Oryctolagus cuniculus: one gene and its partners. The protein of the gene in region 3 interacts with the protein of the main gene of each other region in a biochemical or structural test. Links are inferred from orthologs where the notes say so. Each region holds a gene or a part of one and is shown on either strand. Other genes may lie near its edges.

The links.
Region 1: of the proteins of ZAP70 (region 3) and LCP2, one has a biochemical effect on the other in vitro, tested with the Homo sapiens proteins (2 studies listed by BioGRID). The link is inferred for Oryctolagus cuniculus from reciprocal best matches to the Homo sapiens genes ZAP70 and LCP2.
Region 2: of the proteins of ZAP70 (region 3) and SHC1, one has a biochemical effect on the other in vitro, tested with the Homo sapiens proteins (2 studies listed by BioGRID, with this or other methods). The link is inferred for Oryctolagus cuniculus from reciprocal best matches to the Homo sapiens genes ZAP70 and SHC1.
Region 4: of the proteins of ZAP70 (region 3) and LAT, one has a biochemical effect on the other in vitro, tested with the Homo sapiens proteins (2 studies listed by BioGRID). The link is inferred for Oryctolagus cuniculus from reciprocal best matches to the Homo sapiens genes ZAP70 and LAT.

The regions. Positions count from the first base shown.
Region 1 is NC_091437.1:57,138,678-57,142,242, reverse strand, and holds part of LCP2 (lymphocyte cytosolic protein 2), read left to right. Parts: intron 1-1,441; coding exon 1,442-1,536; intron 1,537-2,152; coding exon 2,153-2,230; intron 2,231-3,565. UniProt on the Homo sapiens protein: Adapter protein primarily involved in signaling pathways within T-cells, as well as other immune cells such as platelets, mast cells, and natural killer (NK) cells.
Region 2 is NC_091438.1:43,543,387-43,545,752, reverse strand, and holds part of SHC1 (SHC-transforming protein 1), read right to left. Parts: intron 1,572-2,366; coding exon 1,373-1,571; intron 1,297-1,372; coding exon 1,227-1,296; intron 1,123-1,226; coding exon 988-1,122; intron 825-987; coding exon 586-824; intron 1-585. UniProt on the Homo sapiens protein: Signaling adapter that couples activated growth factor receptors to signaling pathways. Participates in a signaling cascade initiated by activated KIT and KITLG/SCF.
Region 3 is NC_091433.1:110,655,709-110,659,273, forward strand, and holds part of ZAP70 (tyrosine-protein kinase ZAP-70), read right to left. Parts: intron 3,129-3,565; coding exon 2,936-3,128; intron 2,493-2,935; coding exon 2,286-2,492; intron 495-2,285; coding exon 302-494; intron 211-301; coding exon 70-210; intron 1-69. UniProt on the Homo sapiens protein: Tyrosine kinase that plays an essential role in regulation of the adaptive immune response. Regulates motility, adhesion and cytokine expression of mature T-cells, as well as thymocyte development.
Region 4 is NC_091450.1:7,782,723-7,787,067, reverse strand, and holds the start of LAT (linker for activation of T-cells family member 1), read right to left. Parts: upstream 2,832-4,345; 5' UTR 2,581-2,831; coding exon 2,478-2,580; intron 2,347-2,477; coding exon 2,316-2,346; intron 2,203-2,315; coding exon 2,168-2,202; intron 1,974-2,167; coding exon 1,904-1,973; intron 1,778-1,903; coding exon 1,713-1,777; intron 1,448-1,712; coding exon 1,243-1,447; intron 1,157-1,242; coding exon 1,062-1,156; coding exon of another isoform or gene 1,050-1,061; intron 1-1,049. Other genes in the region: SPNS1 (protein spinster homolog 1), read right to left, coding at 3,600-3,694, 3,834-4,005, 4,200-4,298. UniProt on the Homo sapiens protein: Required for TCR (T-cell antigen receptor)- and pre-TCR-mediated signaling, both in mature T-cells and during their development.

The DNA of each region.
Region 1 (3,565 bases), on a different chromosome or scaffold from region 3:
CCAGAGCCTGCCTTATCTGCTACTTTAAAAACAGGGAAGGCTGCCTTCAGTAATCCTGGTCCAAAGTGCTCGGCCCTTCCCAGGTGAAGTAGCCATGTAGATGTGGTGCTTGTAAACGTTCCTATTCCCAGGCCCAAGGCCAGTCAAAGTCCCTGAGGGATTCTCACTCAGGTACAGTAATGTTTGGGGCCACGGCTTGCCCTGCCACTGTTGCACACAATTTGCTCAGGCTCTTGAGCCTATTTCCTCCTACACAAGATACAGAACCCACCCTGCAGTTCTCTGAGGATGAAGGTAATGTACACACAGTGTCCTACTCAAGGCCTGGACAAGAGAAGTACCGAGGACACATTTGCTGAGTGAACAAGTGGGTGACGGATGGCTAATGAAGAGAACATTCAGCTAATAGAATGTTCCAGTTTGTTACAGCTGTTCTAAACAGCCTTGGCAACCACAGTCAACACAACCAAAGCTTTCCTGTGAGAAGGAAATGTATTCTCATAAAGTTTCAGGGAACTGAAAACACAAAAGCAGCTTTAAAGGAGGTGAGATGGGAGACCTGGGTCACCCTGGTTGAACAGAAACTCTGCGGTGTCTTCTATGTGCTGGGCAGTGTTACCACTTAGGGAATTCAGTAAGGCACAGCAAGTGTGGCAGGCCTCGGATGCCCTCATCCCATAACAGAGTCCTGAGTTGGAGTGTCAGCTCTGCTTTGGAGTCCAGCTTTCTGTTAATGCATACCCCGGGAGGCAGCAGGTGATGACTCAAGGACTTGGGCCCCTGTCACCCAGGTGGGAGACTCGCACTGAGTTCCCAGCTTCTGCTTTGAGCTTGGCCTATCCCCAGCTGTTGTAGGCTTTTGGCAAATGTGCTTGGAAGATTCAATCTCTCTCTCTCTCTGCCTTTCAAATAAATACATTAAAAATTAAAAAAAAAAAAGAACAGCAGGCAGTGTTGGTCCTAAAAGCTAGCAATATTCTCAATTCATCTTGTCTTGGGTACCTTACATTTCCTTTATGAAACAACAAGAACATGAGTATTGTTATCACTGCAGTGTCACTGCCCCAGCTGTTGGGAATCCATTCTGGGCATGTGGATTTGCTGGAGTGTATAAAAGATCTGCTTCTGGAATATTCCTCTTGATGTGCGTGTGAAAATGGTGACTTTTCCATCAACGGATCTAGTCACTTTATATCATGTTTCACGCACATTTAGGAAGTCACTCAATTTGAGGTTTCACTCTCAAAGTTTTACTGGCATGTTTTATGAGCAGCCTTGTGGTTTTGAACAGGTGAACATTATTTTTGAAGCCCTGTTTTCTTGAAATGTTAATTAGTAGAACAGTTATAAAGGCGGGCATGTGCTCGTGCATGTGTGTGTGTGATGACAGCGGTAAACCATAACTTACAGTAAATTGACTTTCAAAATGTGTACTTTGAAGGCTCCAGCAACAGATCACCTCTCAGAGCTGAAGGCAGGAACTTGCCCATCCCAGTGCCAAGCAAACCCCAGCCACCATCCCCTGGGGAAGAGGAGGTATGAAGCACATGTTTTAACTTTTGTTTTTCCCCCTGGCAAATGGACCACCACAACCTCCCATTGAGTACTCTTCCATACTTTTATCATGGACTAGTTTTATGTTCTTTTCTTGACAAAAAACATTTTAAGGGGAGGATTCAGATAAAAAATATGTTCTTTTTCTTGGTATTCTAGCACACACCTCCGGGGCAGATGTGTGTTTTGCATTAAACAATGTAAGACATAATTATATTTTTCGTCTGTTTTCTAGCTTATGACCTTGAAAAAGTCACTTACCTGCTCATTAACAGTTTTTTTCATTAAATAGGTTATTACTGTATATTAAACTGAAGAAACTGTTGTACTTTTATCTTTCCTGATCAAAGGCTCCAGAACATAAGCAACACTTATTCACAACTACCTTTTCAACCCATATCATGATAGAAAGCAGTTCACACACAATGTCTTCTATTTAGCCCTACCTTTGTGATTCTGCATTCAAATTGAGCAAACAAATGTTTCAAACCTCATGGAACTGAGGTGGTGATTTATGGAAATTGTTACTTGGAAGCTTCGCTTTTCCCTTACATATGTAACTGCAAAATTTATTCAGTTTTAAAATTTATATTTTCAGAATTCATTAAATGAAGAGTGGTATGTTTCTTACATTACCCGACCGGAGGCAGAAGCTGCTCTGAGAAAGATAAACCAGGTATTGTGCTAGAGTTTATTTTTAAGTAGTTATAAATATTAATAGAAAGAGAAGGGAACTGACTTGTGTTGAGCACCAGTTATGGTCTAGGAATTCTGCCTGGCGCTCTTCCTATGAGACCCATTCGTGCTAGCTCATATCTACCAGCATCCGTAGGAAGATTCCTAGAACTGGGAACCATTTGGATAGCAGAAAAATCTCAATTAAGGCAATCATTTGGTTGGTAGAATCTTAGAAGATTGTATTAATGAAAAGTATTTGTCTTACTGGAGGAATCGTTTGTGTCAAAAGGGTACTCCCTTTCTCTCAAATTTCTAATATCTTATCAATTCTATCTTCCTCTTCATGTGGAGCTGCCAACTCTCAAGGCAAAAGGGCCCATACTGAAAGAGATAGCAACTTTTTGCCCTTTCTCCTAGAAATTTCTGCCTAGAATTTAATAATCTAATGTGTTAAACAGATTCCCTTGTGGCCCAGTGCTGGACCTTAAAATGAAGTCTATCAGAGAGGAAAAGGAAAGTGCCTTCATTTTTCACTTCTGACTTTCTACAACAGGGTGGTGTTTGGCCTAGCACCAAACAGGAGTACCCGGGTTTGATTCTTGGTCTGGCTCCTGATTCCAGCTTCCTGGTAATGCAGACCCTGCAAAGTAGTGGTGATGGCTCAAGGGATTGGATTTTTGCCACTGGATTGAATTCCTTGCTCCTGGCTTTGGCCTGACCCAGTACTGGCCATTGCTGGCATGGGTGGAGAGAAGCAGCAGATTGGGGGTAACCCCCCTCTCTCTCCCTCTTAAATAAAATATTTTTTAAATTAAATTCTAGAACATTCTTTCTCAGCCTTATCTGCATATTTGAATCACCTGAGCGTTTAAAAAAAAATCCTGATTCCTGGGTCTCAAGTGGAAAGGTCTTATTTTAATGAGTTGGGGGTACCGTGGGGGCTTCAGAATTCCCCAGGCGATTCTAATTCCAAGCTCTAGGCTGAGGCTGAGACATGCTTGTTGAGCAGAAACATTCCGACTGGCCTAATGAACCTGGAATGAGAAGAGCAGAAGGGCACTGCTGTGGGCGGATGGCTATTTACAGCCTCCACGACTTAGTACACAGCAGAGGAAGTGGTCTGAGTCCTCACCGACTGCTTTAATGTTAGATCTTTATAGGTTACTATTAGGTAGCAGTAATTCATAGAATGAAAACCGAAAGTACAGTCACAGCACTAGGAAATATCAGGGAAAAACAGTGGTGAGAGCGCAGATGGTCCACATTCATTTTTAGTCAGGTGGATGATGCACATGCAAGAATGTAAAGGAGATGAATTTCATAGGTATCTGCA
Region 2 (2,366 bases), on a different chromosome or scaffold from region 3:
AAGAGAAAAAGACGGGGGTGGGGCTGGGGGTGGGGGGTGATGGCTGGTTGAGGCTTCCCTGGAAAGAGAAGCTGGAGACAGCTGTGAGAGTGGGCAGGTGAAGGAACTACAGAAAGGCAAGGGGACCTCAGTCCAGAAAGCATGAAGCCTTTCTTGATTTGGACAGGGTTGGCGTATCTCACTGTGCAAAAAAAAAAAAAAAAAAAAAAAAGTGGGAAGGAGGCTGAAATTGTACAGAAGAGAAATGGAAGTTTTGAGGAGCAGTGAGACACTGAGTGTTAAGAGAAAGGACACTGGTCTGGGGACCTGGGGAGGCCCCCGGCTCCTCCTGCACGTGTGTGGCTCCTCACCACTGGCTATCACAACCTCTCCCCGGGGGTTTCCTCATCTGTCAAAGGAGGGACACAGAATAGACGAGCACCGTCTGGCTCTGAGGGGCTTAAGGTTTGGGGATTGGAGTACCGGCCAGGGCTGTAATGAACACAGCTCAGGCACAGCGCTGAGGGCGCTGGAGGGCGGGGCCGACAGCTGCGACTGCACCAGAGGGTACTTCCGACCACCCACGTCCACACCTCTGTCACTCACCACACCCTCGGGGTCCACCAGGAGCAGGTGCTTGGGCTGCCCGCTCTGCAGGCCGGTGAGCACGTACTGGCCAGGTGTGGTCGTGCTCTCCCGCACCAGGAAGTCCCCGTTGAGCTGCAGCAGCGCCTCAGCCTCCCGCCGGCTCAGCTTCCCATGGAACCAGGGCTCCCTTTGGAGCTGCTCAGCCATGGACACCGACTGGGGAGGTGCAGGTACCCGAAGCGCATCTTCAAAGGGCTCTGGGGGGTTACAGAGAGAGCAAGGAGCAGCAGCTGGCACAACACACTCCCGGGACGGAGACCTTCAGGGAAGGGAGGCCAGGAATGAAAGAGCAGAAAGGCAGAAGAGACGGAACCAGGTGGGAAGGCGGGGACGAAGCAGAAAGGAGAGAGGAGTACTCACTCATGTCAAAGAGGTCCCGGGGTGCGCTGCCATTGGCGGTCGCGTTGGGGGGCCCAGCCCCTCCCCCTGCCTGCCGGGCCTTGTCTAGGTTTTGGACGTTGACGTAGGAGGGATCATCAAAGAGCTCTCTGCCTGCTGCGGAAAAGGATGCTCCGTGGTGCTCCTGGCCCTGCCTGCTGCACCCCCGGCTCTTCCCTCCTCAGCTCACTCGCTCCCTCTCTCTCTGCCTCCCTTCATACCCGGGCAAGGTGGTTGAGGTGGCATCTGTTTGCGGACTTCCGGGTCTCCTCCCACAGGCTGCCCTACGGGCTGCAGGGATAAAGGAAGGTGAGACCAGCAGTCCTAACCAGCCTGGGCCCAGCCCACCTCCATCCTAGCAACTTACCAGGGTAGCTCCCAAGTGGCTGGGGGTCTGCGCACTGGGTGGAGCAGGTCGAACAGTCCCTGGGGCAGCTCCTTCCCGGAGCCTCATGTCCACCACGCCCCCCAAAGGGGGTTCCTTCCCCGGGAAGTCATTATAGTACTGATGGTCGGGTAGCTCTTCCTCCTCCTCATCCCAAGCTGATCCATCAAAGCCGGCCATTCTGGGAGGGACAGGAAGGCACAGGAGTGTGAGTACGCAGGAGAGCCGGGCAGGGCGAGGGGAACCCCACAGCACATCACACACACAGCGAGCCTTCAGTCCGCAGGCCTGAGGCTGGGTGTTTCCCAGGTACAGTCATTTCACCCTCCTGGTTTCCCTCCCTAGTTTTATAGAGGAGGAAAATTAAGGTGAGAGGTGAAAAGATTTATCCAAGATCTCCCAACTAAAAGGTGCTATAGGCAAGATTTAAACTCAGCTTTGACTTTACAGCTCATGCCCTTGACCACCAGGCTATTTCCTGAGAGGAAGGGGAAGCACGAAATAGTGGGGAGGGCATGTGCCGGAGGACTTGAACTTCCAAATACACCATCCCTACTGGCCCACTGCTCATTCCTTAAAGCCTACAGTGGGAAAGGAAGGGGTCTCAGGACAAACAGCCTTCCTCCAAGATCCACGAGCCTGGTGGCTTCTAGAAATAGGAAAACACAGAAAATGAAAGAGAAATAGGCAAGAAAGAGGGCGAGGCTAGTAATGAGGTGGCGGCTGGGAAGAGAAAAGCTCATTCAGCCAGAGAAAGAAATGCAGTTTGGAGGCCCTGAAATACAGCCCCACCACAGGCAAGCGAGAGGAAGAGCTGGCCCTGCAGCAGGCGGCCTAATGGCCACCGGAAACCCAAGAATCGCAGGAAGTAGGAAGCAGGGCACACAGGTTATTTCTTTCCCTGAACCTCCCCGAGCTCTGGCGTGGGAAGAGTAGACCTGCATTCCCAATCTGGGTCTGGGGCCCAACAGCTGGC
Region 3 (3,565 bases):
GGGGTCAGCGTGCGTGGCCAGGCCTCCTCCCCCGCCCGCCACCTGCTGCCCGCCGCTGCCCACGCCTGCCTTGTAGGGCTTCTGGCCGTAGGAGAAGGCCTCCCACATGGTGACTCCGTAGCTCCAGACGTCGCTGCGGCTAGAGAACTTACGGAAGTTGATGCACTCGGGCGCGTACCACTTGAGCGGCCACTTCCCTGCTGAGCGGGCCTGGGGAGGGGAAGATGCTGCTGGGCAGAGCTCAGGGACCCTCCAGCCCCCCGACCCGCCTCTGCCTGGGCATCGCAGGGCAGGGGCGCACCGTGTAGTAGCTGTCGTCGGCACCCAGTGCCTTGGAGAGACCAAAGTCGCTGATCTTGGCGTAGTGCCGGTTGACCAGCAGGACGTTGCGGGCCGCCAGGTCACGGTGCACAAAGTTCTTCTCTTCCAGGTACTTCATCCCCATGGACACCTGGTGCAGCAGCTCGGCCACGTTGCTCACGGGGATCTCCTCCCTGGGGTGGGGCCGGGGGGGGCAGCTGGGAGAAGACAGCCCAAGTGCCCCCTGGGACCAAGCCCACCCGTCTCAGACTATCAGATCAGAGGCCAGAGGAGCACCAGCTGTGTGCCAGGCCTGGGGCTGGGGTCACAGTGCGAAGAAGGCTCCAGGCTGAAGTGTCACCCTATGCTGTGACCCCCCCAAGCTTGTCCCTCAGGCTCCTCAAATGCAGCCAAGGCTGAGCCCCCCCCAGCCACGTCCCATCTTCCCCAGGCGCTCTGCCCTCCATCACCTTTCACTCACAGCAAGCCCCGCAGCTCTGTGGTCAGAAGTGCTCCGGAATCTTCCCACTGCTTCCAACAGCCTAACCAGCCCCTCATCAGCACCGCCTGGACTAGAACTGTCAGCTCTGCCCAGGCCTCGCACAATCTTGTCCAGTCCCCAGCTGCATCAGATCCTGCCCCTCCCAGAGCTCCCCCCTTACTCAGGGCAAAAGTCCAAGTCCCCCTGGTAGCCCACAAGGCTTTGCATCATCTCCCTGCCCACACTCTGTCTCCACTGTTCCCACAACAGTGGGAACTGGAGCCCACCCCAGGGCCTTTGCACAGGTGGTACCCTCTGCTTGGAATGTTCTCCCATGGATCTGTGCTTAGCTGCCCCCCCCCAGTCTGCCCAAACCTCCCATTCTCCCTGGGGCTCCCACCCCGGCACGCCCGTGCCCCTGGCCTGCCCTACTCCCTTCTCTCCAGTGCCCCGCTCTGTTTTATCATGATTGTTTACTGCTTCACTTCTCCAACCAGGGAACAGGGCACGCATCTTTGCTCTTGTATTTGCTGATGATCCCAGGTGTCGGCACCAGTTACTCCTGCCACAGAGCAACTGCCCGACAGATACCCGCTCCAGGACTGATTGTGAGCAGGGCGCACCATGAAGGCAGGTGCGCCACAGAGAGCGTGGAGCACTTCAGAGAGCGTGGAGCGGCACAGCGTCCCCCAGGGAGCACAGAGATGCCTGGCCATGAGGGCAGGAGTCCGGAGCCCCAGGCGGCACTAAGAAAAGGCTACAGCCTTTCAGTGAAGGGACAGAGAGTGAATATTTTCACCTATAGATGCCATCTATGGGCTCTCTTCCGTATTCTTGTGTTTAACCTCTAAGAAATGAACTATAGGAGCTGGCGCTGTGGCATCATAGCAAAGCCTCCACCTGTGGGTTCTGGCTGCTCCACTTCCGATCCAGCTCTCTGCTGGGCCCCTGCACCCGTGTGGGAGACCCAGAAGGAGCTCCTGGCTCTGGGCTTCGGATTGGCCCAGCTCTGGCCTTTGCAGGCATTTGGGGAATGAACCAATGGATGGAAGACCTCTCTGTCTGTCTCTCCTTCTGTCTCTAACTCTGCCTCTCAAATAAATAAATCAAAAAAAAAAAAACCTATAGCACAAGACCAAGCTGCAGGCTGCAGGCTGCAGGCTGCTCCAGGTGAGAGACCCCCACCCCTGCACTTTCCCAGCAGTGAGGAAGCCGGCCCGAGAGGCTGGGTGCCACTGGTGCAGTCCTCCCTAGCAGTGTTGATGCTGGTCAGGTCCCGATGTTAGGTACTGTTATCGCTGCAGTGATACAAATGGGGGAACAGGGAGCTGGCAGCTCCCCCTTGTGGACACATGTGGGTGTCCCCGAAGTGTGAACCTGCGTGTGGTGTGTGCACAGCCCTAGCAGCAGTGTGAGTGCCGTCCCACCCAGGGCTGCACGGGATGAGCCCCACACACCCTCGCCCACAGCCCCGACCCACAGGCCTGCCCCGGGGGGAACTCACTTCTTCCCCAGCAGGAACTTGTGCAGGGGCCCTCCGCCTGCCATCTCCATGACCAGCATGAGGGCCTCTGCCTGGCACACGCCGATGAGCCGCACGATGTAGGGGTTGTCCAGCTGGTGCATGATCTGCGCCTCACGCATCATCTCGTCCTTGTCCGCCTTCTCCGTGCTGTGCTTCAGCACCTTGATGGCCACATCGATCTGCTTCCTGCCACGATGCACAGCCAGGCAGGACACACAGGGCTGAGCCAGCCCTGTTCCCACGCACCCACCTCTCTTCTCCCCTGCGCGCATGATGCTCACCGCCCCGACTGAGGCCAAGGCATTCACTCCTCCAGTGGTCAAGAAGACAACTCATAGCCAGGGCCCTCACTGAAAACCACCCCTGCCAGTGACAACCTCCCCAGGGTGACCTGGATCCCACCAGCAGCAGCAGAGGCAGGGGCCAGGGGAGGCAGGGGCTGTGCAGCTCAGCCCAACCCTTCCCTGGCCCAGACCTCCATCTGCCGCTCCCCAAGTGCCTCCAATCTGTCTCGGGGAGGCCTCCAACAAGCAGTGTCCTGTCCGAGAGTCTGTCTCTGAGACAGACAGACATCCCAGCACCCACTGTCCCCCCCACTGCCCCCCCCACAGCTGCAGGGGCGGCCATACTTGCGCATGCGGTAGACGCCCTGGCGCACGGAGCCAAAGTTGCCGCAGCCAAGTTCAATGTCAGCCACAAGGAGGTTCTCACGCTTCAGGAAGAGCTTCTTGTCCTTGAGCTCCTCAGGGTCGCTGTAGGGGCTCTCATACACGCTCGTGTCCATGGGCATCGGCCGCGGCTTCTCTGGGGAAGCTAGGCGCGCTAGGGACACACACAGCCGTGCAGTCCCGGGCAGAGGGTGGGGACAGGGGCCAGGGCAGGGCGGGCAAGGCAACTCAGCACCCACACAGCACATGACCCAGCCAAAGGGCACCCGCCCAGAGCACACACAGGCAAGTGAGGGCACACATGTTCGTGTGTGTGTGTGTGTGTCCACATGTGCACTTGCTCACACTGCTGGTCACATCTGTGGGGGCCTGGAGAGCCATGTGCAGGTGGGCTCTGGAAGCACGTGCGACAGTGTCCACGTGTCACCCACAGGGTGCCAGCTGGTGCACTCGCGCACACATACACACACACACGCGTACACACATGCACAGCTACAATCAGGTCTGTCCCTGTGTGCACCACAGTCATGCTTGCGACGCCTCCAAAGGTGGGCCCCCGGGTGCACATGTAACCACATATGCTCTCTGTCC
Region 4 (4,345 bases), on a different chromosome or scaffold from region 3:
GATGGAAGACCTCTCTCTGTCTGTCTGTCTCTCTCTCTCTCTCTGTAACTCTGCCTCTCAAATAAATAAAGTGGCAGCCCTCAGCCAGCACGAGACGCTGAAGTCTCTGTGCTTTGCCTCAGTGGCTGTCACAGCCTGGCCTCAGCCCCACGGAGGCATTTGCAGGACAATGGGTGACAAGTGAATGAATGGATGGATGGATGGATGGGAAGCAGCACTGGGACAAACTGATGCAGCCCAGGACTTGGGATGGTGAGGGACGGCAGCTTGCAGGTGCGGGAGCCAGGGACCAGCACACGTAGCAGGCGAGAAAAGCCCCGGGGTGAAACCAAACTGAAGGGAGAAAGGCAGCTCCAAGGGGAGCAGAGGAAAAGGCGCCCCCTCCCCCAGCCATGTGTGCGCGCACACACACACACACACACACACCATCAGGTCCTCAGACCGACCAGATGGCGGTGGGCACTGGGCACAGCGGTGAAGACCCTGCGGGGGATGCCCACAACCTGTATTCCCAGCTCAGAGAGCCTGGGCTGGAGCCCCCTGCCCCTCCCCCTCCACTCCCAGTTCCGGCTTCCTGCTGCGGTGTACCCTGGGAGGCAGCCGTGGACGGCTCGAGCGGCTGGGTTTCTGCCGCGCACATGGCTGAGTTCCAGGTTCCAGGCTTCAGTTAGGCTGAGCCTTGGCTGTTGCCGGCATCTGAGCCACTGCCTCTCAAAATACATTTTTGCAAAATTTCTTTTTAATCTTTAGTTAAAAAAAAAAAACAGAAATGTACAAGATGCTATTGCCTCCATGAAACAAGAACAGGGGGCTACAAAAAAGGAACATGCAGAGACCCAGAAAGAACTGGATAGGAGGGGAAAACATATATACAGCACAAGGGCTGCGAATAAAGGCAAGGACATCTCCCAGACAATAAAGGAGAAATCAAGGCCAGGGCAGAAGTCCGGCACCTGCAGCAGGGGAGCCCTGGAGAGGGAGCACAGGGGAGCGGGGTCGCTAAAACCTTCACAGGGCAGGGGAGCATGCGGGGGGGGGGGGCCCGGCACCTCCTGACTCACTGGAGAAGGCACTGTCTCGGAGACCAGGGTTTCCGGGCGCAGGGGCGGAGGGGCCAGGGCCGCTGGTGGCCGGGCTGTCATCGGGAAGCACCTCCCTGAGAGTGAACCAATGGGGGAGGGGGTGAGGAAGCTCGCCCGGGGCCCCAGCACCCACCTGCCCACCTGCCCCCTTGCCACTCACAGGTAGCCCTCATTGTGAGAGTCCTCCTCATCCTCATCTTCATCCGCGTCCTCACAGGCCAGCTCTGCGGGCAACGACACGGGGTGGGGAGAGCTCAGCACAGCCCGAGACAGGCCCCCGCCTCCCCACCCGGCTGGGCCCCCCAACCCCGCCGCCCCCGGCAGCCCAAACGCACCCTCGTTCTCGTAGCTCGCCACGCTCTGGGCTTCAAGGAGAGAGCAAGAGGGAAACTGAGTCAGCTCAGGGTTGGGCTTCCTCGGATGGGTGAGTGGGTCCCCTCCACCCTGTGCCTGTCCCCCGCAATTCCCCACGGAGGGCTGGGCTGGGGGTGGGGGGTCTGGCTCGGCTCCAGCCCCCACCCGTGTCTCTTGCCAGTTTGTATATCCCTGTGAGTTTGATCAAACCGCCCTGTGAGTAGTTGGAGGCACCCCTGCCTTCCCGGCAGAGTGGGGGTGCCCTGCCACACTTACCGCCACCAGAGTCCCTCCGGGAAGACGGCATCCGGTGGGAATCCCCAGGGGGCTGCGGAGATCTCCTGGGAATCAAAGGTCAGAGGTCACACTCAATGCCAGGAGGGTTACAGCAGGGCGGGGCGGGGGGCACTGGAAAAACAAGGGAGTAGAGAGAGATTTGGAGGCGAAGGAGTTGGGGGGCTACTCACGGGATGGGGAGCAGGTCTGGCTGGCTCAGGGGTGGAACGGAGGTAACAGCCGGCCAGGGGGCAGGGGTATCTGAGGACACAGAGCTGAGCTGGGAAGAGTGACTTCCGACCCGCATCTCCCGCCTTCCTCGAAGCCCTGGTGCCCTGACCGCCCCCCACTCCCCATCCCAGCTCAAGCCAAGGCCATGTGGGCAACCTAGAACGAGGGGACACCCAACGGAGGGAGCCTCTCTCCCGGAGGCAGGGGCGCCTCCAACTACTCACAGGGCGGTTTGATCAAGATGCTCCTGGGATACAAACTGGCAAGAGAGACACAGGTGGGGGCTGGAGCCGAGCAAGACCCCCCACCCCCAGCCCAGCCCTCCATGGGGAATTGCGGGGGACAGGCACGGGGCGGAGGGGACCCACTCACCCATCCGAGGAAGAGGCACTGTTGTAGGAGTCTGGGGGAAGAGAGCGGTTGGTGAGGCAGGGGCCAGGGCTCGGGGCGGTGGCAGGCGGAGGCAGGCGAGGGAGGCCGGGGACTGTACAGCGACTCCAGCAGGTGCACCCCCGCCCTCAAGCCCCTGCTCACCTGACAGCCGGCGGCAGCGCACACACAGGGCCATTAGCAGCACAGCCAGGAGCGGCCCCAGCAGGAGGCCCAGCGCCGAGTGTCCAAGGACGTTCACCTCCATCTGCTGGGCAGAGCCTGGCCCAGGTCCTCAGGGAAGGGCGCAGCGGTGGGGGGTAGGGGGCAGCGGAGCCCTCTGTGGGGGCTGGGCTCTGTGCAAGCTCTGGGGGACCCTAGCCCCCTAGGTCAGGCCAGGGCCCGGGCTGGGGTCCAGGGCTCCAGCCACGCCATGCAAGCGTGAGACGGGTCCCTGCACCCCAGCGGTACCTGCCCTGGGCCAGACGCCCGCCTGGCCTCGCCTCGCCTCGGCGCCCGTCCTCGGCAGGAAGCTGTGGTGAGCACCGGGTGAAGGCAGGAAATCATCGGGCTCCCAGCCCGCTGCACCGCCCCTTCCCACCCCCACCCAGCCGGTGGGGAGGGGGAGGCCTCCCCGTCAGGGTTCTCACGAAGGGACACTTGCCCGTGGGACGAGGGGCAGCTCCTCCGTGGGAGTGAAGGCCTGTGGCAAGCCACCGGGGGTCGGGGTCGGCGGCAGGCATTCCGCCAGGCAGAGGGCAGCGCCCACCCCAGCTCGCCCAGGCTGGCCAGGGGTTGTGTGCGGAGGGGGGGGCGGGCTCCAGTAAGCCCGGCCGTGACTCAGGGTCACACGGAGCCAGCTCACTGGCACGGCGGTCCTCACTGCTGGGCGCTTAGCCCCACAGCACAGGGACTGGCCCGGTGGCCCCCCGGCAGCGCCCCCGCCGCCCCCAGGAGCCCTGGGGCTGGAGATGGCCAGCCAGAGGTCAGGGGTCACCAGCATCCAGACAAAAGACTCAGGTAGGCACTTGGGGTCTGGCTACAAAGTTTATTCGGTTACAAATAGCACCAACCCCCTGGGGCTGCTCCAGTGGAGGGGACCCCACCCCTCCCCACCCCAGACCCCCAACTCCTCCCCTAGGCTGCCCATGTAGTGTCTGGGAGCTGGACAGGGCCCAGGGTCCCTCCTGGAAGCTGGGCCGGGCTGAGGGCTTAGGCCCGGGCACCTCGTGGGACGGGCCCCAGGGCCCGCGGCGGCAGATGTGCGGACAGGTGAGGGACGGCCACTCAGATGAGCACACTGGACACGGGGACCCTGGTGGAGCGGCCACGCTGCGGCACCACGATGCGGTCATCTGCGGGCCCTGCCTCGGCCAGCAGACCTGTGGGGGGCGGGGTCAGAGCCAGGGCTGGAAGGTCAGCTGGAGCAGACCCGCAGAGCCACCACCAGGAGGAGGACACAGAGCCGCCAGCCCCAGCGCTGAGACAGCGGCCGGGAGCCAGGGCGGGGCCCGCACTGACCCTGCACGTGCAGCTGCGCCCGCCGGCGGTCACCCTCGATGAACATGGCGGTGCCCAGGAAGGCGGCCCCGCCCAGCGCCCCGACGAAGGCGCAGAGCATGAGCGAGAACTGCAGGGCCCGGAACTCGGACAGGAAAGATGGCGGCCAGCTGCGGCGGAGGCGGTCGGAGATCTGCGGGGGGCAGGGCGGAGCGTCGGGGGCGGCCGGGACAGCCATGGGAAAGGGGTGGGCCCTCAGGGACTCTGCCAAGACAAAGCCCTCCCCACCCAGGGGAGGCTATAGGGTGCCCAGCGCCTGCAGCCGCCCAGGTAGGCCACCGGCCAGTGCTGGGAGAACAGGACCCCCAAGCCCGGGGTGAGGCTCACCAGGCCGATGAGGTAGGGGCTCCCAGCGTCGCCCAGCAGGTGGGACAGCACGATCTGGAAGGCTTCGGCGGTGGAGCGTCGTGTGGGGATCACCACGTACTGGGGGAGGGGGGAGGGAGGGGCCTCAGTGGAGGCTCTCGGCGAGG